Linked DNA regions of Lytechinus pictus. The protein of the gene in region 1 interacts with the protein of each later gene in a pairwise test. Links are inferred from orthologs where the notes say so. Each region holds a gene or a part of one and is shown in the gene's direction. Other genes may lie near its edges.

Evidence for each region.
Region 2: the proteins of protein bicaudal D homolog 1-like (region 1) and ras-related protein Rab6-like interact in a two-hybrid assay, tested with the Drosophila melanogaster proteins (3 studies listed by BioGRID). The link is inferred for Lytechinus pictus from reciprocal best matches to the Drosophila melanogaster genes BicD and Rab6.
Region 3: the proteins of protein bicaudal D homolog 1-like (region 1) and clathrin heavy chain 1 interact in binary tests that used the Drosophila melanogaster proteins (3 or more experiments, as listed by UniProt). The link is inferred for Lytechinus pictus from reciprocal best matches to the Drosophila melanogaster genes BicD and Chc.

Annotation. Positions count from the first base shown.
Region 1 is NC_087247.1:56,902,851-56,913,850, forward strand, and holds the start of protein bicaudal D homolog 1-like, read left to right. Parts: upstream 1-6,751; coding exon 6,752-6,982; intron 6,983-11,000. UniProt on the Drosophila melanogaster protein: This protein is essential for differentiation. It may play a role in localizing of Nanos (a maternal determinant) activity in oocytes. Functions redundantly with BicDR.
Region 2 is NC_087260.1:28,909,754-28,920,634, forward strand, and holds the start of ras-related protein Rab6-like, read left to right. Parts: upstream 1-5,690; 5' UTR 5,691-5,840; coding exon 5,841-5,910; intron 5,911-10,881. UniProt on the Drosophila melanogaster protein: Protein transport. Regulator of membrane traffic from the Golgi apparatus towards the endoplasmic reticulum (ER). Mediates membrane trafficking during egg chamber growth and organization, possibly upstream of exocyst component Sec5.
Region 3 is NC_087246.1:33,379,577-33,390,379, forward strand, and holds the start of clathrin heavy chain 1, read left to right. Parts: upstream 1-6,465; 5' UTR 6,466-6,804; coding exon 6,805-6,846; intron 6,847-10,803. UniProt on the Drosophila melanogaster protein: Clathrin is the major protein of the polyhedral coat of coated pits and vesicles.

The DNA of each region.
Region 1 (11,000 bases):
TAAAACCCATATGGGGCCTATATGGGTTTTCCCACCTAGAACCCACATAATAAAACCATATGGGCCCCCATGTGGTATCTATATGGGCGAAGTGGCATAATTATGGATCGCCTGAGCCCATATAGGAACATATAAAACCCATATGGGGCCCATATGGGTTTTCCCACCTAGAACCCACATAATAAAACCATATGGGCCCCATGTGGTATCTATATGGGCGAAGTGGCATAATTATGGATCGACTGAGCCCAGATAGAAACATATAAAACCCATATGGGCCCCATGTGGTATCTATATGGGCGAAGTGGCATAAGTATGGATCGACTGAGCCCAGATAGAAACATATAAAACCCACATGGGGCCCATATGGGTTTTCCCACCTAGAACCCACATAATAAAACCATATGGGCCCAATGTGGTATCTATATGGGCGAAGTGGCATAATTATGGATCGACTGAGCCCAGATAGAAACATATAAAACCCATATGGGTTTTCCCACCTAGAACCCACATAATAAAACCATATGGGCCCCATGTGGTATCTATATGGGCGAAGTGGCATAATTATGGATCGACTGAGCCCAGATAGAAACATATAAAACCCACATGGGGCCCATATGGGTTTTCCCACCTAGAACCCACATAATAAAACCATATGGGCCCAATGTGGTATCTATATGGGCGAAGTGGCATAATTATGGATCGACTGAGCCCAGATAGAAACATATAAAACCCATATGGGTTTTCCCACCTAGAACCCACATAATAAAACCATATGGGCCCCATGTGGTATCTATATGGGCGAAGTGGCATAATTATGGATCGACTGAGCCCAGATAGAAACATATAAAACCCATATGGGGCCCATATGGGTTTTCCCACCTAGAACCCGCATAATAAAACCATATGGGCCCCATGTGGTATCTATATGGGCGAAGTGGCATATTTCTGGGTCGACTGAGCCCAGATAGATAAATATAAAACCCATTTGGGGCCCATATGGGTCCTCCCACGAATCCATATAATAAAACCATATGGGCCCAATGTTGTTTCCATATGGGCGGTGTGGCTTATCGCCTGATCCCAGATAGAGACATATCTAACCCATATGGGGCCTATATGGGTCTTCCCACCAAGAACCTACGAAGTAAAACCATATGGGCCCCACTTTGTATGTATATTGGATCGCTTGAGCCCAGAAAGAAACGTATCAAACCCATATGGGCCCTATATATTGGTCCTACCTGAAACCAAAAAATAAGTAAACCATATGGGCCTCATGCACCATCTATAGGGGCGATGTGGTTTATCGCCTGAGCCCAGATAGAGACATATATCAAACCCATATTGGCCCCATCTGGGTTCTACCTGGAACCCATGAAATAAAACCAAATAGGCTACATGTGGTATCTATATTGGCGGTGTGGCTTATCGCCTAAGCCAAGATTGAGACATATTAAACCCATACGGGGCCAAATGAATCCTCCAAACTACAACCCACATAAAATAGTAGAACTAATAATTGGCCATAAGCAGTATCTCTGTAGGCGATGTGGTCCGATATAAATCTATTAATCTACTGATAGACACATAATAAATCCATAGGTAGCACACACATTTGTGTATCGAATGGGTCTGTATGTATACATTGGCGATACAGGGGCCGAAGGGACCGCCCCCCCCCCACCCCCATATTGGTGGTCTAAAAATCAGGGGGGAAGGAAAAAGAGAGGAAAACAAAAAGGAGAGGAAATGGAAAAAAATAAGAGTGGACAGGAAAAGAGAAAAGATAAAGTGGGAGAGAGAGAGACCGGGCTTTGCATGTAACCGAAAGGAAATGGCGCTTTATAAATGCCCAACTATTATTATTATTACATTAAAGAAAAAGACGAGGGGGGGGGGGGCTGGGAACAATATAGGCCGTTATATCGTGGAAAAAATCTGCTCACGCTAATTCGCACTCGCCTTTTTTAGATATTGTGCAGGGGAATGGTTAACTCATCACTTCACGGGGAATTATTTCATAAAAAGAAGAAAAACTATCAAAATGTGTGTATGTTTTTGTTTTGTTTTGTTTAATTTGTTTGTTTGTTTTTTTTTGTTTTTTTGGGGGGGGGGTAAATCACTATATTAGGAGGATTTCAAAACAAAATAACACGGTTGGTCAAAAAAAAATGTTTTGAAGAACATTGAAATTTCAAATCAAATCAAATCAATTTATTCAAATAAAATCCACAGTTTAGGATTGTCATCAAATATGATAAATAATGAACGTGGCAAAACAGATATATATACAGTATATATATATACAAGTAAATATAAGCAATCGCCAAAATATGTGTTCATTCGAAAAGAAAATACATTATTAAACATTTTGCCAAACTCTTACTGATTTCAAGATATTACAATTAAGTCATTACAACACGTCCATGGCGTCATCTATTAACACGAGTGTATCATAGTCCGTCATTATAATTACTCATATTATTTAGTTACATTAATTTTACTTATATCGTAATCATTACTTTTATTTGCATGATGTACAAGAAGTAACCTGATTCGCTCAGTTCTCTAAATGACGGCACTATGGTATAGGCCTATTATCATAATTTTTCTTGTTGCGGGTTAAGGATGGGCGCGAGTACGTTGATTGATTTCTAGTTGTTTTTGTCGCCCTTGTTCATTCATAAATTTACAATTGCTAATTCTTATCTTCAAATAATTCCTAACTTATAGATTATCAATGTCTAGTTATAAATATTTCTCTATGTAGGGCCTACGTTTAAGGTCTTTATATACGTTCTCAGTTTACTACAATAATTCTCTTCCAGTATCTATCTTCCTGAAACTGTACCCACTGATTTAACTTGATGTCGTTTAGGTCATTTAGGTTTTCCCAAATATGAGAATAACCTATATCTTTCATAGATATTTCTAGCTTTTGACAAAATCCGTTCTTTATTTTCATGTTTGATTGATAAATGTTAATTAGTAGGTTAGGCTTAGCCTTTGCATTTGTTACTTGACACTAAAATCCGATCATGTATTTTAAAGCTCGACATAGATAGTAATCAAGGTATATTTCACATTGTTGGTAAATCTCGAAGGGGTAAAAAAAGGGGGGGGGGGAAAGAAGAAGAAAAAAAAAGATTTTCTTCATTTTCACATTTTTTGATACACTTATGATGAGAACTCAACCCCATAAAAGTTCGCTTTGGAATGCCTGCCTTTTCTAGAAATCACATGTTTAGTGTTGATTTTAGGGATTTATCGGGTACCCTATGTACCGGGCCTATGTATACGGCTAATTCGATTGATGATAAATAGCTTACGGATAAAAAAAAATGTTTGTGATCTTACAATTCACAGGTTAGGTTCTAATCGTGCATCTTAAAATAAAGAAAAATTTTGAATTTTCAAAGGAGAACACGCCCAGATAGCAAAATATCTGGGACCCATATGGGTCCAATGTGGGTTATCTGGGACCCATATGGCCCATATGGAAACCATATGGGCTAGAAGTGGGTAGGTCCACATGGGGCCCATCTGGGTTATATCTGGGCCCATATGTACCAGATGAATATCATCTGGGCTGGAGATGGGCATTTCCAAGTGGGACCCAGATGGGCTAAAATATGTGGGACCCATCTGGGTTATATCTGGGCCCATATGTACCAGATAAGCCTTCTGGGACCCAGATGGGTCACATCTGAGCTCAATATCTCTGGATGATCGATCTGGACTGCACTCATGAATATTCATTACAACAGTAAATGATCAAAATTTTAGCTAATACGGCTACAACAATTAATATGTTTATGTTTAAGCAAGGATTCCACCATGAAAAGTTTCAGAAAAGTATGTAATTTATTACCATGAAATTAAAAATCAAAACATTTAATTTCAGGAGAAAATTTTCAAGGTTAAATATTGAAAATTGTTATTAACCATAGCCTGTCAAGTATAGCAAACTCGCTCTATATATAGAAGTCAATAACAAGATTCAGTGGTTAGGTGTAGGATAGGATAGGATTAGGATTTAGGGTTAGAATGTAGGATTATAGGATATGATAAAATGATAAGGATTAGAGTATTGGGTTGTATAGAAAGTCACCTTAATGATACAAATTAATATATTTTTTTTAATTGATTAAAACATCGTGGACCCACATGGCCCACATGGGACCCATATAAAAACACAGTATTGTTTTCATATGGGGCCCATATGGGAGCAATGTGGGCCTGCCCATATTCAACCCACACTAAACCCACTTGGCCCAAATGGGCCCCACATAGGGTGTACATATGGGTCCCAGATTGGCCAAGTGGGGCCATACATAGCCCAAATGGGTCCCATATGGTTTACATGGGTACGATGTGGGCCTGCCCATATTTACCCCACGCGAAACCCTGGCCCATATGGGCCCCAGACGGGGTGTACGGTGCAAAAAACACATGGGTCCCAGATGGGCCAAGTGGGGCCATACATAGCCCACATGGGAAATCCATATGGGGCCCATATGGGAGCAATGTGGGCCTGCCCATATTCAACCCACACTAAACCCACTTGGCCCAAATGGGCCCCACATAGGGTGTACATATGGGTCCCAGATTGGCCAAGTGGGGCCATACATAGCCCAAATGGGCCCCATATGGTTTACATGGGTACGATGTGGGCCTGCCCATATTTACCCCACGCGAAACCCTGGCCCATATGGGCCCCAGACGGGGTGTACGGTGCAAAAAACACAAGGGGCCCAGATGGGCCCATACATAGCCCACATTGGCAACCCATATGGGGCCCACATTTTTAGCCCTGATAAGCCCACAAGTAACCCATATGGGCCCCATATATTTTGCTCACTGGGAATCTTCCTGAGATTGACTTTTGAGAGCACGGTTATATACACGATGCTTCTGTCTGATCTTGCTCTTAATTTCCCTAGTGATGTAAGGCAGGTTGAATCTAGTACTGCTCATCTTACTAGGGATATACTTCTCTTTTAGGTATGTCAATTTACATGTCAATGATTCCCAGTTCAAATTGACAGACTTGGTACCAGGACTGTTGATGAAGAATTCTTCAGAAAAGGACTAAAGCTCAGTTCTGATCTTATCAAAGTTTGCCTTCTTATAATTGTAGACTCTGTGAGCTTTACTTTTTTGATGTTTGACAGTACCAGTGAAGTCAATCTGAACAACAGAATCATGATCGCTGATCCCTGGAATCGGCTTAACAGAGTCAATCAATGTAGGATTAGTAGTAAATAAAAGATCTAGCATATGCTGTTGTCTCGTTGGGAAGTTCACGACCTGTTGGAGATTATGGTGGCTAGCAATATCAAGAAGAAGGGTGCATGGTTGGGTACTACTTTTGTAGACTCTTGCAGGGCAAGGCTTGACTGAATCAGAGTCCCAATCAATGTCCGGCATGTTAAAATCACCAGCAAGTACCTTGTAAGCATCAGGAGGAAGTTTACCCAAGGAAACTTCAAGCCCAGGGAGGCCATATTAGGATCATTATATAATGGGGTTGTAAAACACTCCGAGATATACATCTTTCTGGCCATGGGACCTCAGCTTAGTCCAAAAGTACTTCGCAATCAGCGTCATATTCAGGAAGAGCTACTGCGAGCAGCGTTTTCCTAACTGCAATGAGGACACCTCCATGACCATCATTGCGGTCTTTCCGCCATACGTATCAAGATGTGTTAGAAAAAGCTCAGAGTTAGAAATAGTATCATTTCCCCAAGTTTCAGTTCCAAATATTATATCTGGATGAACAGAATTTATAAGATTGGATAGGGGTTCGACTTTGCTTCTGAGACCTTGGAAATTGATGACTACAGCTCTCAGTTTCCTATTACCAGATTGCGGGGACTTCTTACGAGAAGGTGAAGGTTTGTCACCACTCGTACTCGTTGGTGAGGACATATAGCAATTGGTGCGAAGAAGGGAGACTTGTCCTCAAGTAGAGAGGAAAAACTGTTCGAACATTCAATCTCAGAGGAGCTATCGAATAAGGACGCTGCTTTGAGGGGTTTGCCCCATCATATTTTTGTTTTATTCCTCATTAATTTATTTTTCATAAAAAGTAGATATCTAACGTTAAAATTGTACCACTTACGGCTTTTAAGGACACGCCCACGCCCACTTATATGCATGCGCAAACCTATGGCCCATGGCGCAGACGCACGCGGGGTGAACTCCAGCTCCAGATACCGTGTATACGGCATACCGTACAGATACGATATCGATGACCAGAGAGAAAACGTACGGATGCGATGCGCTTGCTCAGTTTTGAGCATAGAGATGTGGTTTTGAGCTAGTTCGGAATCTCTGGGCGGATACGCCCCCGATCTTTGCTAATACAAAACCGACTCATGCAGAGTTTCCTGGCGCTAGCGCATATTGCGCTATAAATCAAATGCATAATGCGCGCGCGTAGGAAACGTTCACTACATTCCCGTATGTTGCATTGTCGCGAGTCTGCGATTGTACCATAGACCCAGGACTAAGAAACCTTCAAATTTCACCTTTTCAGCATCGGTGTTGTTTTTTATAAGAAGCACAATGATCTCCAAAATTCAAGGATGAAAACGGGTGAAGTCCAGGACGCTGGATTCGTCATTAACCTTGTGGATCGACTGTGAAACTCGAGTGGTATTGTCACCACAGAGCCAAGGAGTGCAGGCCACCCGAGTCTAGCCGGCTCCAAGTCCAACATTACCGGTATCACTTGCTGTTGAAAATGCAGTCATTCGCCATGTTCGACTCGGACGATGGTTCGGAAACCATCGAAGAGTTACGGGTTGAAATCAGCCGTTTGAAAGAGGAACTCGCTTTGGCCAGCAGAGAGAAAATACAGGCTGCTGAATACGGTTTAGTTGTTCTTGAAGAAAAGCAGGCAATAAAGCAGCAATATGAAGACCTTGATTTACTCTATGAAACTTGTAAACAGGAGCTTCAGATGGCAAAAGAGGTAGGCCCTGGCCTAGTAGTACTAGTAGTGTATACCCAGTTGTTGTGTGTCCGGACAGGTTGTGTGTCCGGACGATCAATTTTAGAAAGTCATTTGGAAAAATTTACAAGGAAAGTTTTATCAATTTTTAGTACAAAATGTCAGGAAATATTATAGAGAACAAAATAGAAGATGATTACAACTATTGATTTCGTATTTGTAGTGTAATCCAATGACAAAAAAGAAGGCTTCAAAAATATAAAGTGTCCGGACACCCGATCCCCCATCCTACTACTAGTAGTGGGGCGGTATTCTGAAAATCGTGTTAACTTTGGTGTTAAATATCGTTGTTATGTCTCTGATTTAACACGCCCCTAACATACCCCCAAATCGGTATTCTGATAACCATGTTGTTATCATCATTTCGTGTTATCTTCAGCTCCTTGCTCCTACTCCGAGTCCTAGTAGAGTCCTAGCCTGGAGGCGTCTGGGGAAGTATAAGTCATCTACTCTACGTAGCCGTAGGCTTACTCCCCACTGACGCCTGGGACGCCAAGGTATATTCACGCACGTACGGCCACAAAACCTGAAACTTTGGCTCCCGAGATTTCTACTTTCCCTCTAAAAAAAAAAAGATCTAGCCCTAAGTAAAACATGTATGGCAGTGTATCCTAGGCTATTGGCATTGCCGGACACCTTTATTTCAGTGCTTTAAAAATGACAACTAGAGGAAATACAATCAAGAAAAATTCACACTTGCTATTCCAAATATGAAAATTATGAATATGATAAAATTATTTTATATTTACCAACCGTTTTCTTTGCATCGCACTTGTCGCATACCCCTCCACAAAAAACAATTATTTTTGTGCGCGACAAATTACATCATGATTCCGGACGCGCGCCGGACGGGTAAAGATATCCTTGATTATAATGATGTAAGAACAAATTTTTGTGATTTTTTTCTTATATCATATCATGAGTAAATTCTAAGTATTATTTGCTTTTTTTATATCGAATCTGAGCAGATGTTGGTAATAAATTCGTGTTTGATAACTTATTTTATTTTGTCTTGTTAGCTGCATGTTCCATGGCACTTTCCAATAATAATATGCTCGCGTTCGTATCGTGACGCTCATCAAGTTCTATCGATGCGCTGCCAATCGACGGCTCTACTCACGGTAAACCTCGCGCACGGGTACCTTGAGAACTAGCCGTCGACGATCACCCACAATACACCACACCTCATCATTCGATCGAAGGAGTGGACGAGATTGAAATTCGGCAAATCAGGACCATATTTCCGTTAGAAAATATATCAATTGTTAATACAAAACTATGTTATATGATATTTTAAGCATTTTCTGTAATTTTTAGAGATAATTAGGTAAAAGTTTGATTTTTCGCCTTGTTTTTGCAATCTTGTTCTATGTATTGCTCTGTGAAATTGAATTGCGGAAGTCTTACGGTACGAATTTGTTTTAGAACGCAGTGATACGCGCGTCCGGTAACATAATAGTGTCCGGTAATACAATACGTGACTTAGACCAAAAGCTTCAGTCTCTGTATTTTGGTTGTTCCGCTGAACTGCGTTGGCTCACTCACAAATGGGGATTATAGTAAAATGTCAGAAATTGTTGAATAAATCCCCAGAAACGACGGTTATTCCTGTCTATACGTGACTATACATGGGGTTCAACTTCATTTCCAACATTTCTGTGATATCGATTTTGTTTTTAAAGAAGAATTCAATAAAAAAACGAGAAAAATGTTATGAAAAGATGGGAAGTGCTGACGGCCGTGTTTACGTCGCCATCTTGATTTCTTTGTCTTCCGCTTGGCGACAGCGCAATTTGCGTGCTGTCGCCAAGCGGAAGACAAAGAAATCAAGATGGCGACCTAAAGACGGCCGTAAGCTCTTCCCATCTTTTCATAACATTTTTCTTGTTTTTTTATTGAATTCTTCTTTAAAACCAAAATCGATATCGCAGAAATGTTGAACTCCATGTACATGTTTTAGGGCTAGATCTTTTAGAGGGAAAGTAGAAATCTCGGGGGCGAAAGTTTCAGGTTTTGTGGCCGTACTTGCGTGAATATACCTTGGCGTCCCAGGCGTAAGTGGGGAGTAAGCCTACGTAGAGTAGATGACTTTTACTCCCCAGACGCCTCCAGGCTACATGTAGCTCCTCCCACATGTCCCACTCTGCATCTACCGTACTGTATTTAATCCAATCAAATGCGTTGTAGTGTTAAAGAAAAGATCGCGCAAAATTTTCAGGGGAAAAAATGAGTGCGAACGCGGTAACATGAAGTCTGCATTGTGAGTCCAGGTTTTTTGACAGTTCACTTATTAATGAGTTTTAATATTGTATGACTTTTTAAGTTAGTTTTTTCATGCTTAGAATCTTGGATGTGGGTGTGACTGTGAGTTGAACTTGGATATAAATGAATTCAATATCTAATTTCTACTCCATCTATTCCAGTACAATAACCTGTACTCGGCCATGTAATAAAGGCCCACATACCCTAACTTTTCCTGAAGTTCTTTGAAAATGCAGATCTCCACGAAAATCGCATTTCTCTATGGGGGAGTCTAAATTTGGTGAGAATGAACTCATTAATAACTGAAATATACATGGCAATGAAGAAATTAGACCAAAAGCTTCGGTCTCTGTTATGTTGGTTGTTCAGCTGAACTCCGTTGGCTTCACTCACCAAATACAGAGACCGAAGTTCTAGCGCGATCTGTACAGGGGACTCAATGGCCATATGTTTATGTATATAAGTTCGGATAAAACAGGGAGGTGAATAGGGTTGCAAAGGACTGGAAACTTTCCGGAAATTTTGGAAAATTTCCATTTAAAGTTTCGGGAATTTTCAGGAATTTTCATTTTTTCACAAAAAGTGATAAATTCTCTTTTTAAATGCAAAATTATAAATTGATATCCTAAAATATCATATTTTCCATTTGTATTTTTACTATTCTTCATTTTTTAAATTGCCTAGGGTATAAAATATTCATCAAACTGTACATAAATACATTATAGTACATGTACCCGGTATATGTAGTAACATGATGGAGCATTATGTACAAAATGAAGCTTTTCAATTCAACATGAAAAAAATAATACTTTGCATTACACTTTTTTTTCATTTGTCTTTAAATGTTATTGTTTTTTATGTGAGAACCTGCCATTATATAATAGCATGTTATTAAGAGAACATTGCCCCCTACATGTAGTCTGCATGCACAGACCCTTATTGAAACGTTGATCCACAAGTGAGACTTCACACAAGACTAGCACGAATACAACTTTCTGTTGAACAAAAGGACCTCCTGTACACAAGTCATTGGCAGAAACCTTAGGCTGCTTATTCAGACCACTTTCCTTGAGTGAAGGGTTTGCCCTTGTCTGCTGTGCAAAGCCTTCACTCGAGTTTAGGGTCTGAATGTGCAGCCTACTCATGCCTTGTGTACTGAAGGCCCTCTTGCTCAGGAAACAGCAAGATATTATATTCTAGTCTTTGCATGGAGACCCACTTTTTGATCAAAGTTTCAATCAGGGTCTGTGCCTGCAGACAAGGTTTGCACAGCAGACTAATCCCACCAGCAGCTATGGCACTGGCTTGAGTCTAAAAATGGGGAAATCAGGTCCAGGAACAAGATATGTTATATTACTAATTTATTTCTGAGATGCCCCCCTCCACCCCCGAAAACATGGGGAGGGGCAAGAAATAACAATATTACATGTATAATGGGCGACTTTGAAAACAATCAAGATGAATAATTTTTCGCAAAGGGAAGAAAAAATGCACTATTAAAGTTTGCTGACCTCAAATGACCTTTGACCTTGATTATGATTGAGAAACTTGCTATCAATTTCATATCTTTTGTGACATTAAATGACAATCTCATATCAGTTTCAATTAATTTGATCTAGTATTTTAAAAATACAATGTTTATTTCTAAGAGGGTTAATTGAACTGAAGTTAACTTTAAGCTTGAACCAGAAAACTGTATACTCATCAAATCAACGTT
Region 2 (10,881 bases), on another chromosome or scaffold:
AGGCAAGGACTACTCTTCCTTGTACTCCAATACATATAATGGCTAAAATTTCATTTTCCCCAAAAGTTTTATTTCAAATTATATTTTTCTTTCATGAGGAAATAAAACAATATCCTACCTGGGTTATATTCAGATTACTGCCCCAGGGGAATGGGTACTTAGGAGAAAACCACAAATCCCATGATAATTAAGTACATGGCCTATGGGAAAGTTGTCCTTGCCCCTTGTCATAATTTACTTACCGAGTTGCCAATTTGAAATCAACATAAAGCAGTTATAACTTTTTTATTGCTTGTCCGATTTCTTTCAAACTTTTACCATTCTGTTTAATTTATTTTTCTCCTTCCCAACACAACATTAATTTTATGGCCAAGGCTGGATTCCCCTTTAATTGCGGCATATCAACATCCTTTTTTACGCTATTCCATATCATGTCTTACGTATTCTAACATAAAAAATCATTCCTAGAGTGTAATCCAAATGACTCTATCCTGATATCATTCGGGAATGATTGTACAGACTGTATACCCTCCCTGAAAATTGCGGGATATCCCGATATCCATTGGCATCAGTGCTGGAGCAGCTAGAGGATTATGTGTTGGGGGGGGGGGGGCACAAAAATAGATATCCCCACATGGACAAAGGATAATCCTCTGCTCAGACACCCATGATATCCACCCCCACCCGCCCTTTCTCTCCTCCCTATAGATTTAGGCCAATGGCGCCAGGATATTTTCCTAGGGGATGGGGATCGACGAAGTGATATATATATTTTTTTCATAATGAACATGTTTGTACTCCTTTCTCCTTTCATTTCTCTCTTTTTTCTCTCCCCTTGTATTATCTACTTGAAAAATCATGAGGGCCGTTCTTCTTACACTGTAAAAAAAAATACCGCCCTATTTACTTAATTCAATTATGTTAAGAAACTGCCTTAATTTGTTCGAGTATTTATGAGTTATGGCAGTTTTAAGTAAAATTTACTTATTTTCTTTGCATCCATTTTACTCAAAATTAAGTTACAATAATTAAGTTACAATAACTTAATTCAATTAAGTAAAACAATCACTAAAATATCAGTGAAAAAAATCACAAATGGGGGAGTGGACTTTCGGGATTCCGCTCCCCCATCGTCCCACTTGGTGGCATCATTTTCATCTTAGACATGATATATCCAAACATTAGACTTTGTGCATTGTCACTTACCTGTACATGTACAGGTACTGACATTGATATTTATATGTGATCGTTTCATTCTTACAAATAAAACAGTGAGAATAATAATTTATAAGCATCGAAAACCTAAAAAGAAATCTGAAATTTTCTGCTAAATGACTTTTAATGTTGCTCTTTCTTTGATTCAACATAAGAAAAAAATAGTTAGCACACCCTTATCCAAAACAATTTCAAACACAAATAGATATGACAATTATTAATAAAAAAAAACATTTACTTGCTCTAATAAATATTCATGCATTATTTAAATATGGCGTTAATTGAAAAATATAAGTACATTCAACTTGATTTTATAAGTAATACTCATCTTTGCCTAATTGAGTTAGATTTACTCAATCAAAGCAAGCTATCAATATGTGAATTTTCTTTAATGTATATTGAACCCAAATAAATCAAGTAAATCAAGTAAATTAAAAGACAAGTTAAAACTACTTAAAAAAACGAAAAATAATTACAAATTGTAAATTCTACATTAAGTGTTAATTACCGATTCAGATTTTTTTTTTACAGTGTACTTTTCCTTTTTTTAAGGATGTTGTATTGCCTTCTCTCAAATCAAAATACACATTCACATTCCATAAGCAAGTTGTACAAACTATTTGAAACATGATTAAAATTATACAATAAATCCATAACAAATATAATTATACAAATTATACATCAAACTTCAAAGATACTAGAAATTAATACTAATGCGTTTCAGCAATTACAAAATGAAATGTTAACAAGATGTGTGAAATGATATGAGAGGGAAAAAAGATAAAAAGTGTTGTTCTACCTCCTAACCCCCCCCCCCCCCGTCCCCAGGTTAGGAGCACCCTCCCATTTTTATGCCTATAATCTACATGGAAGGGACTACAATTCTCCGTATTGTTTTTTATTTTTTTCTGTGTTTTTGTTTATTTTGTTTTGTGGTTTTGTCTCTCGTTGTATATATACATTTGCCTCACTCTCCCTATACATTCTTTTAATTAAGATTTTCCCATTTCCTTAAATGTAGAGACATCTTACCTCTACCTAGCGCCAGTCTTCTTTCTTCCCATTCTTCTTCTTTAAATTTCCTTTTAATTTCATCCATGGTTATAAGTGCACCCTTTTCCCTCCCTTTGAAGATTAAAAATTTGACAAATAATTGACTAAACGTTCCTTTCCTTCGTCCTTTAATTCTACACCTACAAGAATTTCCTCCCAGCTTAAATTACCCGTAGAAATAAAACCAAACATCTCCTTACAATTATCCCAAACCAGACAAGCATATTCACATTCCAAAAATAGATGGCGATATGTTTCCTCCTCTTTTTTACAATAACAACAAAGATTATTCTGTGAGATTTAAAACGGAACAAGTGATAATTTGTATAAGCAATGCCGTGCAACATTTTAAACTGAAACTCTCTTAATCTACTGTTCAGAGTACATTGTCTTGGTCTCACAAAAATGTGTTCAATCTTTTCATAAGAAAAACTATATTTGTTTTTTTAACCTTTCGAAAACATCAGGTATTGCGAAGTTACATTTCATAAAATTTGCATAAACGTTTTTAGATACTAACTCCTCTATTGACAAAATTCTTTTTCCAGATATAAATGATATTTCTTCCCTAAAAGAAGCCTCTTTGCTATCTATTTTCATATTTCGTTTCCAGCTGACTGGAAAAGTTTTATAAATTGACTCTATCAAATGAAAATCATTTATGTTTAAACCCTGTCTTCGGAAGTACGAAAATGACCTTCAGTTTCCATCATAATCCATATGTTTCAATCTGTAAATATTTTTTTCATATATTTTTTGGTTAAATATGCATTTCCCTTCAATTCGTAAAAAAATTATTGTTAAAACATATCTCATTTCCTTTAAATGTTTTAGATTTTAATTCTTCGTCTCTATCCATACTTTTTAACAAATCTATATAAAATTGCGGCAATGCTATCTCCATCAATCCGAGCAAGTAATCGCATGAAAATATAAAATTTCCTCCCAGATGTTTTGTGGAATAATTGAAATATTGTTTCCATTTCATTGCATTATTTTCTTTTAGTCTTTTAATCCACATAACTCTCTGTGCCTTTATTAACCATTGAAAATTCATCATTTTCAAGCCGCCTTGATGGTAATCTAAATACATCATTCTTTTGTTAATCTTTTGTTAATCTGCCACCCCACAAAAAAGTAAAAGCCAACTGATCAAGTACAACATAAACCCATCCTGGGATTGGTGTGAGAGATGCCACATATATGAATTTTAAAAATATAAATTGCTTTAATAATTGTATTTTGCCCATCAAAGTTAAATCTCGTTACTTCCACCAGTTTAACAACTTCTTTATTTTACTTAATATTTCTTTATAATTCAATCTTTCTTTTACTTCTACATCTAAAGAAAAAAATACACCGAGAATCTTTATAAAATCCACATTTTGGCCAAAAGATAAATCATATTATTTTCCTTCAGAGGAACCTAATAATAAAACCTTCGTCTTATCGCTATTAACTTTAAGTCCTGATACTTTTCTGAATTTTTCTAAAATTTTTATTACTTTTTTGACTGAATCTAGATCTCGGACAAAAATAGATATCATCTGCATACATAATCTGTTTTACTTCTTCCTTTCCAAAGGAAATTCCTTTAACATCATTATTATATCTTATATTATGCGCTATAATATACTTCTATGTATAAAATGAAAAGATATGGTGAAAGCGGATCTCCCTGCCTTACCCCTCTTTCCACATGAAAATAGCTTGTAGAATCTCTTCCATTAAAAATACAACTTTGGCTATTTGTATATAATATTTTGACCTTTTATATATAGTAATCGATCTTTCTCCATCTGTCAGATTTTCTTCAAACACGTGATGGCGCTATTTCATCAAGAATTTCAAGCTGATGTAGGCCTATGATATCACCAAGCTCTGTTGATCTAAAAAAATCATTTGAATGGTTAGTTTATTTTATTCACGATTAAAATACATACAGTGTAAACACAATGGGCATAAAAGTCATGATCAAAGTCAACGATTATAATAATTATGTAACAATATTTGAACAATGAATGTAATACAAACTCATTTTCGGATAATCCGTTTCAGATTGGCTGTGCCACTGTGGCCAATCTGTTCTTCCCCCTGAAAAAACCCTCTTTCTTCAAGGCTTCGAACACCACCGTATCTCAGACTTCCGAACTATTTGCCCCCCCCCCCCTTCACGGGCTTTTCCTACCTTACACCGGCCCCCTATCGGGAGGGACTTCTTACAGGTAAGCTCAGAATATCCCTCCATCCCAGACTCCGGTAAATGTAACCGCCCGATGGCGATGGCCTATGTATCCCCTTACTTTTGAGAAAGAAAATATGTAGTGTTATCATCAAATAGCCGTATCAAAAATGCATTATAAAACCTGCTAAATATTGTGAATTATAAAAACACGAAATCTCGCGCTCGGACGCTCAATAAATTCATAACATAATTTTGGTCCCGATAGTATGTCATAGCCTTGTTGCAAGGGTTACACTAGAACCTTTGATCACAAAATAATGCCTCAAATACCTTATAGCACCCTAATTTCTTTACATAAGAAGGTATATCATGAATTGTTGATTAAAAACCCATATTTTTAAACTATTTTTTCCATTTATCGACTTGAAATAAGATTTAATCTCATGTAACAATATATTAAGTATTTCATTTTTTCAATTATTCATAATCATTCCTTTCCCTCTTTGCATCAAATAATCGTTGATATGAATTGAACTAAGAGCATTTTTTGTTGGCCATAAAACTTTTTTTACACCCCTTCCCCATTTGGCAGTATTATAAACCCCATTATTCAACTTGCCTGATGTTCTGCGTGCTATTCCCACTTACTGGATGGTAAGTGATTGTGGTCTGCATGAACTTGACATACATACATGATCATCATACTTTAGTCCTCATTATTTTGCTCGTTTAATTATAAGGCATTTTCAAAGTTTATTTTCTGTGTCCGAATTCTTACTTTAAGTATACACTCCCCTTTTTCTTCTCCTCCTTCTTTTTTTCTTCTTCTTCTTCTCCTCCTCCTTCTTCTTCTTTGATCTTCTTCTTCGATCTCTTCTTCTTCCCTTTCTTCTTCTTCTTCTACTTCTTCTTCTTCTTCAAGTTCTTTTTCTTCATCATCATCTTCTTCTTCTTCTCCGAAGTTCTTCTATCCCTTGGTTTTCTAATCTTTAGTCTCTCAATTTTCTTTTTTGTTGTTGTTGCTTAATTACAAATAAAAAAACAACATGTTTCTTGACCGTGTTCCTTGTGAAAGCCCTCAAATGTGAAGTTTCCCAATTACAATGCCGGGAAACACCTAACTTGAATATCGCTTGCTATTAAATCATTGTTATTTCACCTTATTTCAGGAATGCTTCTATTTATTTTTTGATATAGTTATTTTTTTTTATAATCCGAGATGACGCATCCATTAAGTGCGCATGCGCCGAACACCTCAGAATCTATAACGTGGCGAAGATACCTCCGAGAATCCAGAAGAGATAAGATCATCAAATATCTTGTTTTTGCTTGATTTCAAAACGTTTTAAGAGGTTATCTTTTCAGAACCCCAAATTAACAACTTAGGATGTCTTCCTCCGGAGATTTCAGCAATCCTTTGAGGAAATTCAAGCTTGTTTTCCTTGGCGAGCAGAGTGGTAAGTTTGCCGGTATCGCACTGGCGACGCCCGGCCCCCTTTTCGTGATCGTGTGCTGTATGATATCGTATCCAACGCAAATGCCATTGCCAATGCATGTCTATGTAGAAATAATACGTGTACCGGGTAACAGATGAATGATGCGGCGCTAATGCAGTTTCTCACAGGAACTCTACCCTAGCCAGGAGGCTCCTAGAGAGTAAAAATCATAACGTGTGCTTACCCTCAATGCAATGGAGCCTGGAATTGCTTCCCATACATCTACACACACCGCCCAAAAACCTGAAACTTTCGCCCCCGAGGGCCGAGACTAGCCAGGCGGCTTCTAGAGAGTAAAAATCATTTACTAACGAGTAACGTAAGGTTACTCTCGTACGAAGCCAGGCCTTCTATCTCATAGACCCACACAGAGCCAGACAAAACCTGAAACCTTCACCCCCGAGATTTCTACTTTCCTTCTAAAAGATCTAGCTCTAAATCATGTACATGGGATAAAACTTAATTTCCGACATTTCTACGCTCTCGTTGTTATTTTTAAAACAAGAATTCATCAAAAAAATGAAAAAATATTGTGAAAAGACGGAAGAGACTTGCCCGATGTTTACGCCGCCATCTTGTTTCTTATTGTACTTCCCCAACGTTACGGACACGAGCGTCGCGTAACGTTGGGGAAGACAAAAATTGGAATCGGCGAGTAAGCTCCAACATTCTTCAACGAGAAGAAAATCGGTGCTTAAATGTACATGTATAAATGACAAATATTTGGGGAAAGTTGCTACATATCGTTAGGTAAGTTAAGTTTCATAGAAAACTGATTTTATTTAAAATCTAATAAACAATTCGCACATTCCCGCAATCCCATGGAAGTGTTGCATGCGCTGTGCCTTGATATTCCTGTGCGCCAAGCCTTGAAATAAGCAGTTGCAGACCAGGGGCAATTTTTCAAAAAAATTGCCCCCGGCTCACGGGCTTTTTACAGGAACCGGGGGCAATTTTCTGGAACCAGGGGCAATTAAAAAAAAAAATATATAACGGTGAACCACACTGCAAATTTGTTTATAGTAAGCGCAGCTCCTGCAATTTTTTAATTAGTACATGAATAGCATGCTAAGTAATAGGCTTATTCAAACATTTAAGAAATCAGATTTAAATGTTTAAGTGTGTTTTGACACCCTCACTCCACATCCCCTTCACAACCACACACACATGGGCTTATTTATTTTTCATCTTTAATGAACCACGAACAATGAACCCCCCCCCCAAAAAAAAAAATCTAAATAAATGAATAAAATAAAAATATAAAAAGAGAGAGAGAGGGAGATGGAGAAAGAGAGAATTCAGATCAAATAATAATAAATTTAGAAAAAAATATACAAATTTTAAGGTTTTTTTCATGGTTAGAATCACGGGTGTGGGTGAGTGTTTGTGTGTGATTGTGACTGTGAGGTGCATCTGGATTGCATATAAATTATGTTAAAGAAATAAAGAAATGAAATCAATATCTAACTCAGTCTATTCAAATTCCAGCACACAGGCACAGGCTATGTACATGTATTGTAGGTTCATGTACCTTAAGTTTTTCACAAGTTATTTGAAAATGCAGATCTCCACAGAAAAATGCCTTTCATTCTGGGAGTCTAAATTCTGTGAAAATGTATTCATTAATAACTTAAATATTCATCACAATGAAGAAATCATTAAGTTTTTTGACAGTTTTCAAAAATTAACATGAAATCTAAACTCTATCTGAAACGGAATAATTCACAACTATAAGCTAAGTAATTTTGGATTATTAAGGCTCCGTTTTGACAAGCAAAGTCGGCGACTGTGAGGATAAAAGACTCGTACATCGTATGTGCTGTGAACAGGGATTTATCTCCTGTGCAATTCGAATTACTATATCACAGAATTGTGATATCCCAACTGGAAATGTGTGCATTAGAAATTGCACATGGTGAAGTATGGAAAAACTGTCACCGCTACCGGAATCACGCGCGCACATGTATTACAGAAAAAAAAAGACGGACGTAGCTCAATTTTTATGGTACAGAAAAAAAGATGCACTTGGCAATTTGAAACTGTGCTTATCGTAAATTGAAAGTTACTTGATTTTGGCTTTTCAGATATTTAAATTACATGTATGAAATGGCTTCACTGCTCACTCACGATGGGCGCAATTACCTGGAAAATATTTGCATCCGGCCGTCAAAATTTTGATGATTTGGGGGCTTTATGGGCGCAATTGATGGCTTTATGAGCGCGAATTTGCGCTCAGCGCCGGCTTATTTCAAGGCTTGCTGTGCGCCAAAAGTTATATGCAACGGGTCTGGTGGGGAAATTTGCTCAAAGTTGGCCGATACGAAACTGCATTAGCACCGAATGAATCATGGTATTATGCTATTGGTAATCATTATTAGGCATTATCGTGAAATTGGAAACCATTTTGCGATTTCCACTGGAAAATCAACAACAAGGCACGACTGGTGGCTTCCTATATTCAAATTAACCACTTGCTGGCATATTTCTCCTGTTCTCAATTTAGAATCTACCTTATTCCATCAAACTCAAAGAGCTTAAAGGGGTACTCTGGGCTGAAAATATTTATATAGATTAATTGAGTAAAATTCACAGAGCAGAGCAACATGCTGAAAATTTCATCAAAATCTGATGATCAATAATAATAATAATTTTAAAAATGACACGTAAGAAAATACAAAAGAATAAGTGGTGTTATGCAGTCATCTGTTAGCTCATTGAATATTCATAAAGACATGAAAGATGCAAATCTGGAAAATACCATAACTTTGTTATTCTTTGTCCAATTTTGATCAGATTTTCATTGTTTTGATTGTCTGTATTTTGTTCAAGTCATATTATTTTCAGCCCAGAGCAGAGTACCTCTTTAAGTAAGTCGAAATGGGAACCATCATGGAAATTTCTCCAAAGAGTTGTATGCTGGTGCCATTTTGAAGAGTAAATTAGACAGTTCAGATCTACTAATAAGAGTTATTTTGTCAGTGATGATTCTGATTAAATGAATCTCACTTCTGACACTACATGTACTATAGTAAACTGTATTTATCTACTAGCTGAAATTGGAACCAGTGTGTACAACTCTGTAGGGAATTTTCCATAGCTTTGATGACATTAAAGACAGTTTACTGGTGAGATTTATTTTTTTTAGTGATGATTAAGATAAATAACTAGCAAAGTGTTTTATAACTCAGGGACTCAGTTTAAAGGGTTGCGAGAGTGATCACTCGCGACCGCTCCCCTTAATCCATTTCAGGTAGAGCAATTTATCACTGGCCTAAGGCTAAGCGAAACGGATTTTCTGTGACATAAAATGATAAATGCAGAAATGCAAAAAAAATAGAAATCATGCAACATCATACTGTACACTTTTGTATTATTTGTACAACATTTTACTTCCATGTTTAATCACTATTCTGACATCACTTGTGTGTCAGTCGATGTTCTGTAAAGAGCCAACCTCATTCTCAGTCAAGGTTTTATAAATAACACACAATTACAGTACATTTAAGCAATAACACGCATTTAAAATGAGATTCAATTCTATCTTTATTTTACAAGCCGATTAAAAAGGCTCTTTTAAAAACAACATACCGGTACATGTAAATTCAGTATAAACAGTTTAAAGATAACAATGTAAAGCAGCTCATCACAGAATATGTAAATGTTCCATAATGCATTGAGGTAAAATGAAATACATGTTAACTAATCATTATATTGCATATATATATATTCCAGGCATCTGATTTTTTGTCTCCTTTGGTTGTGGGTTGTAATTTTGTGTACATTATTCCATCCATTTTGTAATCGGACAAAAAAGCTTCCTGACCTTTTGTATGTCAAAGAATAACTTTTTTGCAGTGCTCCTCTACCACTCCCCTTAAAAGTTTTAGGAGTGCTTTTTATTGCTCCCCTCATAATTATAAAATTGAGTCCCAGTTAACTGTATTTGATTAAAGACAGTTTACTTGTGGGATGATTGTAATACTTAGTAGTCAGTGATGTTTCTGACAAAAATCTTACTAGGCCAAGACTCTAGTAGACATGGGGTGTGTTCAATGTCGATTTTCAAATTTAAACAGCAACATGTTCATGATTGAAAACTCAATTACAAAATACCAAACGCAAACACAATCAGTGGTGCACCGTTCAGTGTCGAAAATATAAAGCTGTTTATATGTTGATTGTCTCTAAATTTCCCGCTTTCGTTATTGCAGCAGTAGTGCGCATTTTGCCCCATCACAAGAGAGGTCAGTTCTGGCACCTGTTTGTGTAGGCTTCCACTACGAGAGCAAATTAAAAGATGTTTCAAAACTCAATTGTGTTGAATGTCGCATTCGTGATGCTCAAAGTCCTAAAATTTGAGCTAATCGCATTAACAAACGCATCTTGTTCGACGTTTAAATTTTCCTTGGAATCCTGATTTGAAAGACGTTTACTTTTAAGACTGGGAATGGAGGACATTGAACACATACTTTGTTTCTCGTCATTATATCCGTGTTTTGTAATCTCGTTTTCAGTCACGTTTCATGTTGCCATTCAAATTTGGAAACTGACATTGAACACACCCCTTGACCATCTGGACTCGCCGAAATGGAGAATTGATTTGTACATGTAGATCTACACGCTGGTTCCCATTTCGGCAAGTAGATTTATAAAAACGGTCTACTCGTGACTTATTTTGTCTGTGATGATTCTGAAAGATACAGTTTATCAGTGAATTTTATCTTGTTACTGATTTATGTAGTGGATGTGATCACTTTCATATTTTTAGATATTTTTTTGTCATATTGAAAAAAAAATCATTATTTTTTTTCCTTACAGAATTTGTAATCTTTATTTCAAAGAAAAGTAGTGTACAATGAACAAAGTCAAACATTGAAAGAGTCAACAATTGAAACCTTTACTGGTTCAAGGCAGGTTGAAATTGACATTTTA
Region 3 (10,803 bases), on another chromosome or scaffold:
GGCAAACACTTCAACGAATTGTTTTCATCTTTTTTATTGATGCAAAAATTCTTTATTCTTCGCTTCACCTACGTTGCTTTGAATCAGTTTTGCCGACAATCAGGTTAAAGTCAAAGCATGTATGGGCCTATGCAAATGAGAATATGTTTCCTATTTTCAAGATTCAATCAAAACAAGTATTTAAAATAAAACATGTCTTCTTTTTAGCTTGCATGTTCAGCATCCCAAGGTTTAGTCATTCAAATGATATCGTTTTACCATTGTTACACATTCTATATGCTATAATCATAATGACATATTTCATATATTTGCTTTATGTATGTCCAAATTTATGGTTTATGAACGCCACTGGAATGATGCTTGATAATAGGTCCATGATTCAAACTAGTTACGCGTTAGAAGCGCTGTTTGGAGCTTTGAGCGCTTTGTTCGGGTGTGTCGCTCTGGCAACAGTTGTTCCGACTTTTGAATAGTCTAAAAAAAAACAATTTGTTTAAAGTTTGGTTAAATTGGTTTGAGCAATGGTTGTTGGAATGGCGGCCTGAGCGACGTGCTTGGGGTTTGAATGGCGTTTTTTCTTTTTGTTTGCGGTGTACATATTTATCCTATCTACGGTATTTCCGGGTAATTGCCATACCGGCAATTGAACCCCTTATCTTTGAACAATAACATTGTCTAATTTATTGTGATGGAAAAAATACATGCAATTTTATTTGATCTATTGTTCGTTCAGTTTCCTGAGTGTACACAAAACCATGTGCAGCTGTACTATGTATATACATTCAATTCTTTTTCCAGGCAATGTTGCCCATTTTGTTGAGGGTAATAGAATCCCACGAACATTATGTTTTATCTTAACATAATTATTTGCAAACAGCTATTTTACCTTTTTTCCTCCTTCTCCCCCCCCCCCCCAATTTTTTTGTAGCAAATGTCACAAAATACAGGTTGCCACTAGCCTTGAGTATGTCAGACCGTCACGCGTGAACACACCCTTATACACTCAACGCAAAACACATGCACCCCTCCTAGCACCTTGCACGCACCGAGCACTCCCAATCGTACTGCAAACCAAAATGTACCTCATTTGGATGACATATTTAATGATGAAGTATTTGCCCCCCAGAGCAAATATTACACTGCTAAAGAATTTATTTCAGCTTTTAATACTAAAAATCGAAACGATAAACCAAATCACTTTAGCTTAATGCACATAAACATTCGAAGCTTACAAAAGAACTTTGAAACTTTCAGTGAATTCTTAAATATATTGAATAAATTTCCATTCTCTATTATAGGTATGACCGAGACGTGGTTACACTCAACAACCCCTCCCATATTCGAAATTGATAATTATACATTTAACCATATAGATCGTAAACAAGGTAAGGGAGGTGGGGTCGCTTTTTATATTCACAATGATATGCATTATAAAATAAGGGACGATATTCAACTTGACGGGTTAGAAACTTTATTCATAGAAATTATCGATGATAAACATAAAAATAAAATAGTCGGTGTAATATATAGGCCACCAAACAGCGTTGTTGATATATTCCTAGATAGATTAGAATTATGTCTCGAAACTGTATCTCGTGAAAATAAGGACATCTACATCATGGGCGATTTTAATATAGATCTCTCAATACCTTATACTGCCCTCGGCCAACACATGATCACTTTGATGTCATCATTTTCTTTTAAACCTCTCATTGATAAACCTACGAGGATAACAAATGCGACACATACAATTATTGACAATATTTTTACAAATGTATTTAATACCAATAATAATGGAATAATATATTATGATATCTCTGATCATTTACCTATTTTCACGATATGTTCAAGCACCTATCGCTTACATAAACAATGCAACACAGAACACACTACTCGACGAAAAGAGACCAAGCGCAACATAGATTCCCTAAAAACAGATCTGTTTACAGAAACATGGCAAGATGTTTATCAAGAGCAGGATGTTAACAATTCATATGAAATATTCATAAACAAACTTCTTCATTATTACAACAAAAACGTACCTTTGACAAAAATAACTTCAAACAAAAAGAAGAATAAACAACCATGGATCACTCAAGGAATAATTAAATCTATATTTACTCGCAATAGATTGTATAAGATATCACTTAAATCACCTACAATAGAACATCAAAATAAATACAAAAAATATCGTAATAAATTAACATCTGTAATCCGTTTAGCACGAAAATCTTACTTCTCAGACAAAATTGAAAACAATAAAGACAATAACAAAACTTTATGGCATACAATAAATGACATTCTAGGTAAGAAAAAAGATGATCGAGACAATGATGAATTTTTAGAAAATGGTGACCACATCAGAGACCCCAGTGTTATTGCAAACGCATTCAATTCATTTTTTACTAATGTTGGTCCAAACCTAGCTTCGAAAATTGTTACCAATGACCATGATTTTTCACAATATTTAGATAACCATAACGAACACTCCTTATTTTTCAACCCTACAAATATTCAGGAAATGTTAGAAATTGTTCGATCCTTAAAACCCAGCAAATCCAGTGGCCATGATGGGATAAGTGTATATCTACTTAAACAAATAATTTTTTTCCTGGCTTCTCCACTTGTACATATTTTCAATCTGTCTCTCTCTCAAGGTGTTTTTCCTGAATCGCTAAAACTTGCCAAAATTATTCCAATATATAAAAAAGATGACCCATGTCGGATTGTAAACTACCGCCCTATTTCACTGTTACCAAGCATTTCCAAAATACTTGAAAAAATTGTTTACAATCGTTTATACTCATTTTTGGACACTAACAAATTATTAATCCCCAATCAATATGGTTTCAGAAAAAACCATTCAACCGATTATGCAATTTTACAATTATATGATAAAATAACTGATTCACTTTCAAAAAAGGAGCACACTATTGGGGTTTTTATGGATTTATCGAAGGCGTTCGATACAATGGACCATCGCATATTACTGAGTAAACTAAAGACATATGGAATCAGAGGGATCGTACTATCTTGGTTTAAAGATTATTTAGCTAATAGACGCCAATATGTTAATTTTAAATCCAAATCATCTAATATATGCCCCGTAATATGTGGAGTACCACAGGGTTCAATCCTGGGACCTTTATTATTTTTAATATATATGAACGACATTGTGAACACATCACCCTTACTTACATATGTTTTATTCGCAGATGACACCAACATATTTTATTCACACCACAACTTAAACATACTTGATGCAACTCTCAATCAAGAATTAAAGAAATTATCAATATGGTTTAAATCAAACAAACTTTCACTTAACATAGATAAAACAAATTTCATGTACTTCAAACACATTAATTCTAAACATATATTTCGCGATAATATTTATATCAATGATATACCCATTAACGAAAAACAAGAAACTAAATTTTTAGGTGTAGTGATCGATGCTAACATAACTTGGAGTAGTCACATTCGTAATATAAGCATGATGGCAGGAAGAGGCATAGGCATTTTGTATAAATTAAAATATTATATCTCTCAAAGATCGTTACTTATGCTCTATAACTCATTTATCTTATCGTATATATCTTATTGTAATATTGTATGGGGAAATAGTAACAAAATCAAAATCGATTCAATATTGCGCCTTCAAAAGAAAGCACTTCGCATTTGTCATCACTCCCATTATCTCGCTCATACTGATCCTATATTTCATGATTTTAAAACATTGAAGATCTACGATATTCACACTTATCAAACTGCTATTTTTATGTACAAATTTTCCACCAACACTATACCAACACCCTTTCGAAATATTTTTGTCTATAATAGAGACATTCATTCATACCCTACTCGACATTCATCTGACTTTCATTTAACAAACCCAAAACTAATAATTGCTCACAAAACAATACGGCATCACGGCCCGGATGTTTGGAACAACCTTCCGAATGATATCAAACAAGCTGCATCTCTTATATCATTTAAAGCTTCACTAAAGAGGTACCTTTTATCTAAATACTTATAAATTATCACCTGCACTCGCACTCACTTGCACACACTTCATCTTGCCCCTTCCCCCCCCTTCCTTTTATTATATTTTAAGCTATATAAGTGACATCACTTTTAAATAATAAAGACTCGGTATTTTTATTATGGTTTCCATGTAGCCTCTTTTCCCCTGGCTGCTATTATTTCAAGCTTTCAGCTTACGATAGCTGGCCTCTGCATTTACATTCATTTGTTATTGTTTACATGAATATTATGTCTATTATATCTACTTAACTACTATACAATTGTCACCTTTGTAACTTGATCAGTATGTATGTTTCATTTTATATCATTGTTATAAATTTGTAATTTTGATTTATTAATAAATGCAGAAATACTGCTTTAAAAAAAAAAAAAAAAAATATAGTCCATCTTCTCATCTTGCAATGTTGTAGTGAACGAATAATTAATAATTCTTGGAGACACTGTATAAGTGAAGTGGTGCTCAAAAGTTATAAAGCGAGTTTTACAACTTCAGATTTGAAAAAAAAAAATTTAAAAAAGTTAGCCACGCTCTCTCGAGGAAAAAAATAAAGCCTAAATATAAATTTCATCAATCAGAAATGTTTTCAATAATGCTTTTCTCAACTTCATATACAAAACACACAAGTACTTCACGCAGATGATAATCTCATGGGGAAAATATCCGTTTGCACCAAAATGCCAATTTTTACATAATGAGTGCCTCTTTTGGCTGTGCCCCCCCCCCAACGTAATAACGTTCCATCGCCCCTGATCCGTGGTTCATGAAAGAGACGTTTGTTTTTAATTTTTTTCCATTTACTCAAGTCAATTTTTGGTCTGGTGGACTTTATTTTGTTTGGGTAGTATAGTCCTATATTCAAATGAGAACCTACAAATGACGCAGAAAACTACTTGGGCATTATAGGATCATTTTAATCAATTTATGATTTAAGGAATCTGATTCACATGCTTATGTATAATGTTGCAATGTTTCCCCCATAAGATAGCTATTTATTATTCATAATTTTATTTACATTAAACTCCCTTTTTTGTTATATTGTAGTAATTAAATTTTTAAAAAATTACCTGACTTGTATGTTTCATAATGATTTTAAAATGTGAATACTGTATTTACTTTGCTGTTTTCGTGGAAATGAATTAAATGATATGAAATTCTATCATGACATTTGTCTTCCCCTTTTCTTTCTCCTTTTCACACGCCTGGTTCCTTAAGTAAAAGGCCTTTAGAGAAAGTCATTAACAATCAAAAAGTAAAATCAAAATCTAATTGACATTTATTTGTCGGATTAGTCTTTTTTATTGGCATCAGTCATTTTTACATAGAACAATGAATCATTGGCCGATGATATTGCATGCAGATTTTCCTATGCATGCATAATTAGGTTATTTTTTAATTATGTAATAAGGGTTTTTTTTGTATATGGGTGTAAATTCGATCCAAAGTAGATAAATGGTTTTATTCTATGGTCACCAATTTCAGTGGGGGAATTTCAAAGTTCAAGTTGGGCCGAATTCAGGGCCACGGGAACGATTTTTTGAAAAAAAGTTTCAAAACAAAATGGAGGTCAAATTGTTCCAGAAGAATTATGAAGGTCTTTTTGGTTACATTTTCCCATTTTTGCACATACCTGAGGGTGCTGTGTCTATGGAGAATAATACACGCAGCGATGATCCCCCCAGGAATTTTTTTTTTTTTTTTTGGGGGGGGGGTGTTGAAGCACCCCCGCTTCCCAGGCTCTGGGACAAAGCTGAATTCGAGAAAATGTAGCACTGATCAGTTGTATGCAGTAACAGCCCCATCACATTCTCGATACACAGTACTAGGCCGAAACTCACTATCGACATGTCGTCTGCTTGCACTATACGGGTTCCGCCCCCTTTGATCCTGATTGCATATTTACATTACCCCCATAATTTGACTACATTTAATCTTAACAGCCTATAGCATAGAATTATTCGTCGTTGATACTTTACCTGGCTGATCATTATCATGCTAACAATGACATTTAGAAAATTATAGTATCTCATGTACAATCTGTATGAAAAAAAAGAATTGATATCCGGGATTGGTATATACAAATCGTATTGATCATTTTCATGCGTTTTACAGGATTTTATGTTTTGATAGCTGCTTTTCCCTTTAAGATGAATATAAGCAATGAAACTACGCATTTTAAGTAAATTTGCCTTAAACTCTACCCCTCCTCGGAGTTTTGTAAGCTAGATTTACACGGTCTTGCTAAAATTATTGATTTTATTGGCAACTTTTCATTAGCAGACCACAAAAATCGCGACTTGTTCGAGTCAGAAACCCGGAAGCTATTCTCAAGCGAATGCCGATGAATTGACTGAATTACAACTCTCAGCTCCGCTAGCGCTCGCGTCTCGCTCGATGATGATTGGCAATATGTGGCAAGCGCAGTGATAGAAAATCACTGCGTAAGAATGTAGTTATAGGAAAGTGATTCCATATTTCCTATCCAAATGGAATGTATATTTCAAGCGTAATAATAAAAAACTTGAAATGAAATAAAAAGGTACTTCGGATTTATGATGATTCCATCAATAAGAAATTGCATATCATAGGATGAATATAAAATATTTAATCCGGAACTACTTGATTCTTCTCTACTCATGTCGGCCTGCATGAGTCCGTTTGGCCGGTACACCGTTAATAAATTTCTTTGATTTTTCCAAATTCTTCAGGTTGTAGAAATAATAACTTTAATATATTAGTGGATATTGAAATCCAGCAAGATGTCGCAAGTATTGCCCATTCGCTTTCAGGAGCACTTGCAGGTAAGCCGTTTGTATTCACAGGTTTCAGTAAAGTCTATTTTTTCTGTATCGTTTACGTGTAACGTGTATGGCCTCTGTGTGTGTGATTCATCCTCCACTGCATGTAGTAAGATCCGGTGAATGTACGGAGTGTGTACGGTCATGTGTGTGGGCAATGAGAGATACACGCCCTCCAAATGGATAAACGCCGGGTTACAGTCTAATGAAATTCTTTGATGAATGTTTTGCTCTTGTCCAGTAATTCTGTGTAAAATGAAAAGTTTTGTAAACTGTCGGTAGAATTATGTTATCGATGCTTTTTCATTATTCATAAATTTTAATCACAAACAGACCATTGCCATGGGCATGGCATTTAATGTCAGATTGTTAACTCCAGTTAAAAGTTGAAACTGAGTAAAAACTTTGATTTGAAACTTGAAATGGCTCCATTTTCGGCATTGGTTTGGTAACAGACATAAGGTTCATCGTTCAGTCCTGGACGCAGGATCCTCTGTTCCTCTATGTCCAGCTCCTGGTGATATACAGCGACGTCTGAAGAATTGGAGCAGTAGAAATATTGCGATTTGCTGTGAAATCAAGGGCCGACGTTTAGCGGCAACAAAAATTGGTGGACACATCAGGGGGGGGGGGGGGCACTTCCATTGACAAGTGGATTAGTTATTTAATAAAACGTAGAAAAAGATACATGTATGTACGACATGTAACTGTAAGTAAGAAGGGTGTAGAAAACAAATGCTGATGACATGTTATGGGAAGATCTGATGCAGATTGCAGATATTAATGCAGTAACATACGAGATTGGAAGAGGGTGTGATTTGCAAGGGTGATAAAAACTCAGGGTTGTTGATTTTTTTGATTTTTTTAAAAAAATCAAAAAAATCTGATTTTTTTAATTTAAATCGGATTTTTATGATTTAAATCAGATTTTTTTGATTTTTTTTCAACGAAAAATAATGGTCACACTTAACAAGTTTTAAACTATATTTAAACTGTTTTACACCAATAATAGTGGTCAAGTAGTCTTTTGAACATTGTGTATTGTACTATTTGACACAATAATCCACTTATATACAGATTATTTTTTTATTTTTTTAAATAATTTATTTGCATTATAGAGAGGGACATTTTATGGAAGCCCAAGTAATGTTATGTATTATGTATACATTTAAATCAGTCAGTCCAAAACATCCAAAGTGTTACTCCAATGCATGAAGTACTCAAAGAACTTGAGAATTTCCAACAAAATTGACATTATTAAAGGCCTGTTAGGGTTCCTATACTGCCCTTGGGAATTCTAGCTGGGAATATTTTCTAGAATTATCACATGGGGGATTTTAGCTAGGAATATTTCCTAGAACTATCACATGGGGGACTTCCCAACTAACAGCTGGTAATAGCTAATAAACTAAGGGTTTTGCAACTTAAGTAATTGAAAGAATGGGTATTAATAGTAACAAGAAGGAGGTACATACAAGTAGTTCAGCTGTTTTGTAAAAGTATCCAAGTTGTGGACTTTGAGCACCTTTGTAGATTTAATATATTATTTTATTGAAGATTTAACAGTTTGGTGTACATACAGAGAGTTATTTATCATTACTTCGTTAGAAACTTGTTGTTTTCATCAGTTTTGCTTGTTTTACAATTTGAAAATAAAACAGTGGTGTTAAATCAGACTCCATGAGGGTGTATCATTCTTTTAAAGTATCTCTAAAGCATGTGGAACAGAAATGAAAATGATTACATTGAAAGTATCTGTTAAGAAGAAGAGAAAATAGAGAAAACTAATTTTTTTCATAAAAGTTGATTTAAATCAGTGATTTAAAAAAAAAAATCAAGTGATTTAAATCGTGATTTAAATCATGATTTAAATCGACATGATTTAAATCAAACAACCCTGTAAAAACTAGAATGTATTTTTTAAAAGGGTCGACGAGTTCTATACCTTTTGTGCTAACAAGATTGAGTTTTAAGGGTCCAATTTTTCCTGGCAATTTACCTCCGACCGATTGAAGGGTGATTTATCCTCGATACTCCAGTCCATGCAAGTGGGAATACTTGATAAATGTGGGGTTCTGTAACTAGGGGGTTTATACTTGTTAAGGGCAGGGTTTCTTACCCAATTCTGGTTAAGGGTCGGGCTTTAAACTGCTATCGTTAAGGGGGTGCGTTTTAATATGATCATAGAAAATACTTGTTTAGGGTGTGTTTTTTTTTTAAAACCCCATTGACTTGCATGATATCCACTGGTCAATGGAAGTGCACCCCCCCCCCCCTGTACACATCCAAATTTGTTATTCCAATTCCACCTACATGTATTTTGTTTGTTCTAAATGATAGTAAATAAACTCTTCGTCCATGATATATTCTATGGAACCCCTATAACATGTCCTCCCATGAAAAAGCAAAACAAAACATGTGATTCATCATGATAGAGAGTAAATCATCACTATTATTATATTTATAAACTCTATTAGAGTTTACTTTTGAATGCTATCATATCATCTTCGCGCTGGTTTTCAAATTTATCCTGGTGCTGTCGCAGGACGACGACACCGCTGTAAACTGGCTATTAACCCGCTAAGACTGCATTCACAGTAGAAAAATTATCCCGGGATAAAATTTTATGTAACCATTCACACTGCAGCAGGTGATTTTCATTACCTCCCTAGCAAACATGTAGGCTTGTGTCCCTGTGAGTGACCCGACTCTGATAGACTGGAAGTGCTGCTTGAGGGTGGGGTTGCTTGAGATCCTCTGCCCACTCTTGATTATTTATGTGAGCCAATTAAGTTACTTTGGCAATTATGGAGCTATAGACCTATTCTTTTACGTTTTGCTATTATTTTCATTATTTTTCAGTTACAGAGAACAGATTGTAATCTATTACTTTATTATGTCAAAGATTAGGACTCATGAACTATGAAAAATATGAAAAGAAGAAAGTGGCAGCGAAGAAGAAGTTAGCTCCACACACATAATGTAGAATTATGCATTATGTAGAATACATGTACATTGGTATTAAAGTAAACAAATCACAAGTGGTTTATCCCAGTGTTGTAGCAGTGTGCCTTCACACTGAAGGAACACTGCGACAGTCGCGTTTCTGTCCTTCTGCTATTACTATGGTGTGAGAGCAAAAGTTTGTTGCGGAGTTACAGCAAGGCAAGGTTATCCCAGGGTAGTATATTGCGGGTCCAACAATTCACACTGAAGGCAACACTGCTACAGTCGAGAGACTGTAGCGGTTTGTGAAGCCAGTGTGAAAATGGTACTAAGAGTTTACACATTGAACTCTAGTAGAGTTTATAAAAGTGACAATTTTCAATATTCAGAAAGGTAATTGGGTAGTTGTACAAGTGTGACATCATACATGTAGTCTGCTGGGCAAACCCTTCACTCGAGTTAAGGGTCTGAATGTGCAGCCTACTCATGCCTTGTGTACTGAAGGCTCTCTCGCTCAGGTATTGGAACAGCAAGTTTTGTATGTGCTAGTCTTTGCATGGAGGCACACTTGTTGATCAAAGTTCCAATCAGGGTCTGTGCCTGCAGACTATCACACATGTTGGTCGCATTATGGGAGGATGTCCTTATGATAAATGATCTCAATATTCCAGTGCTTTTGAATTTAAACTCAAAGAAGTAGAGCTGTGGAAATACATCGAACATGTACATGTATATCTCAATTTTCTTACAAAAAATGTGAATTTATTTGCTTGTAACATTATAATCCCATTGTGTGGGCACGACAATGTTGTTAAGTCTGTTTGTGACTCTAACATGTACTTAAAAGCCCCTTTCACAATTGACGTACGACCTGTTTACGACCACCTGCAACAGTTTTTTCTTGTTGTTGCACGATCGATCCCTTGGTGTCTTGCGAGCACTCGCAGTCGTTGTAGACGATCGCACAAACTCGAGGTGGTTGGAGGTGATCGTGACTGGTCGCATCTGAACTTT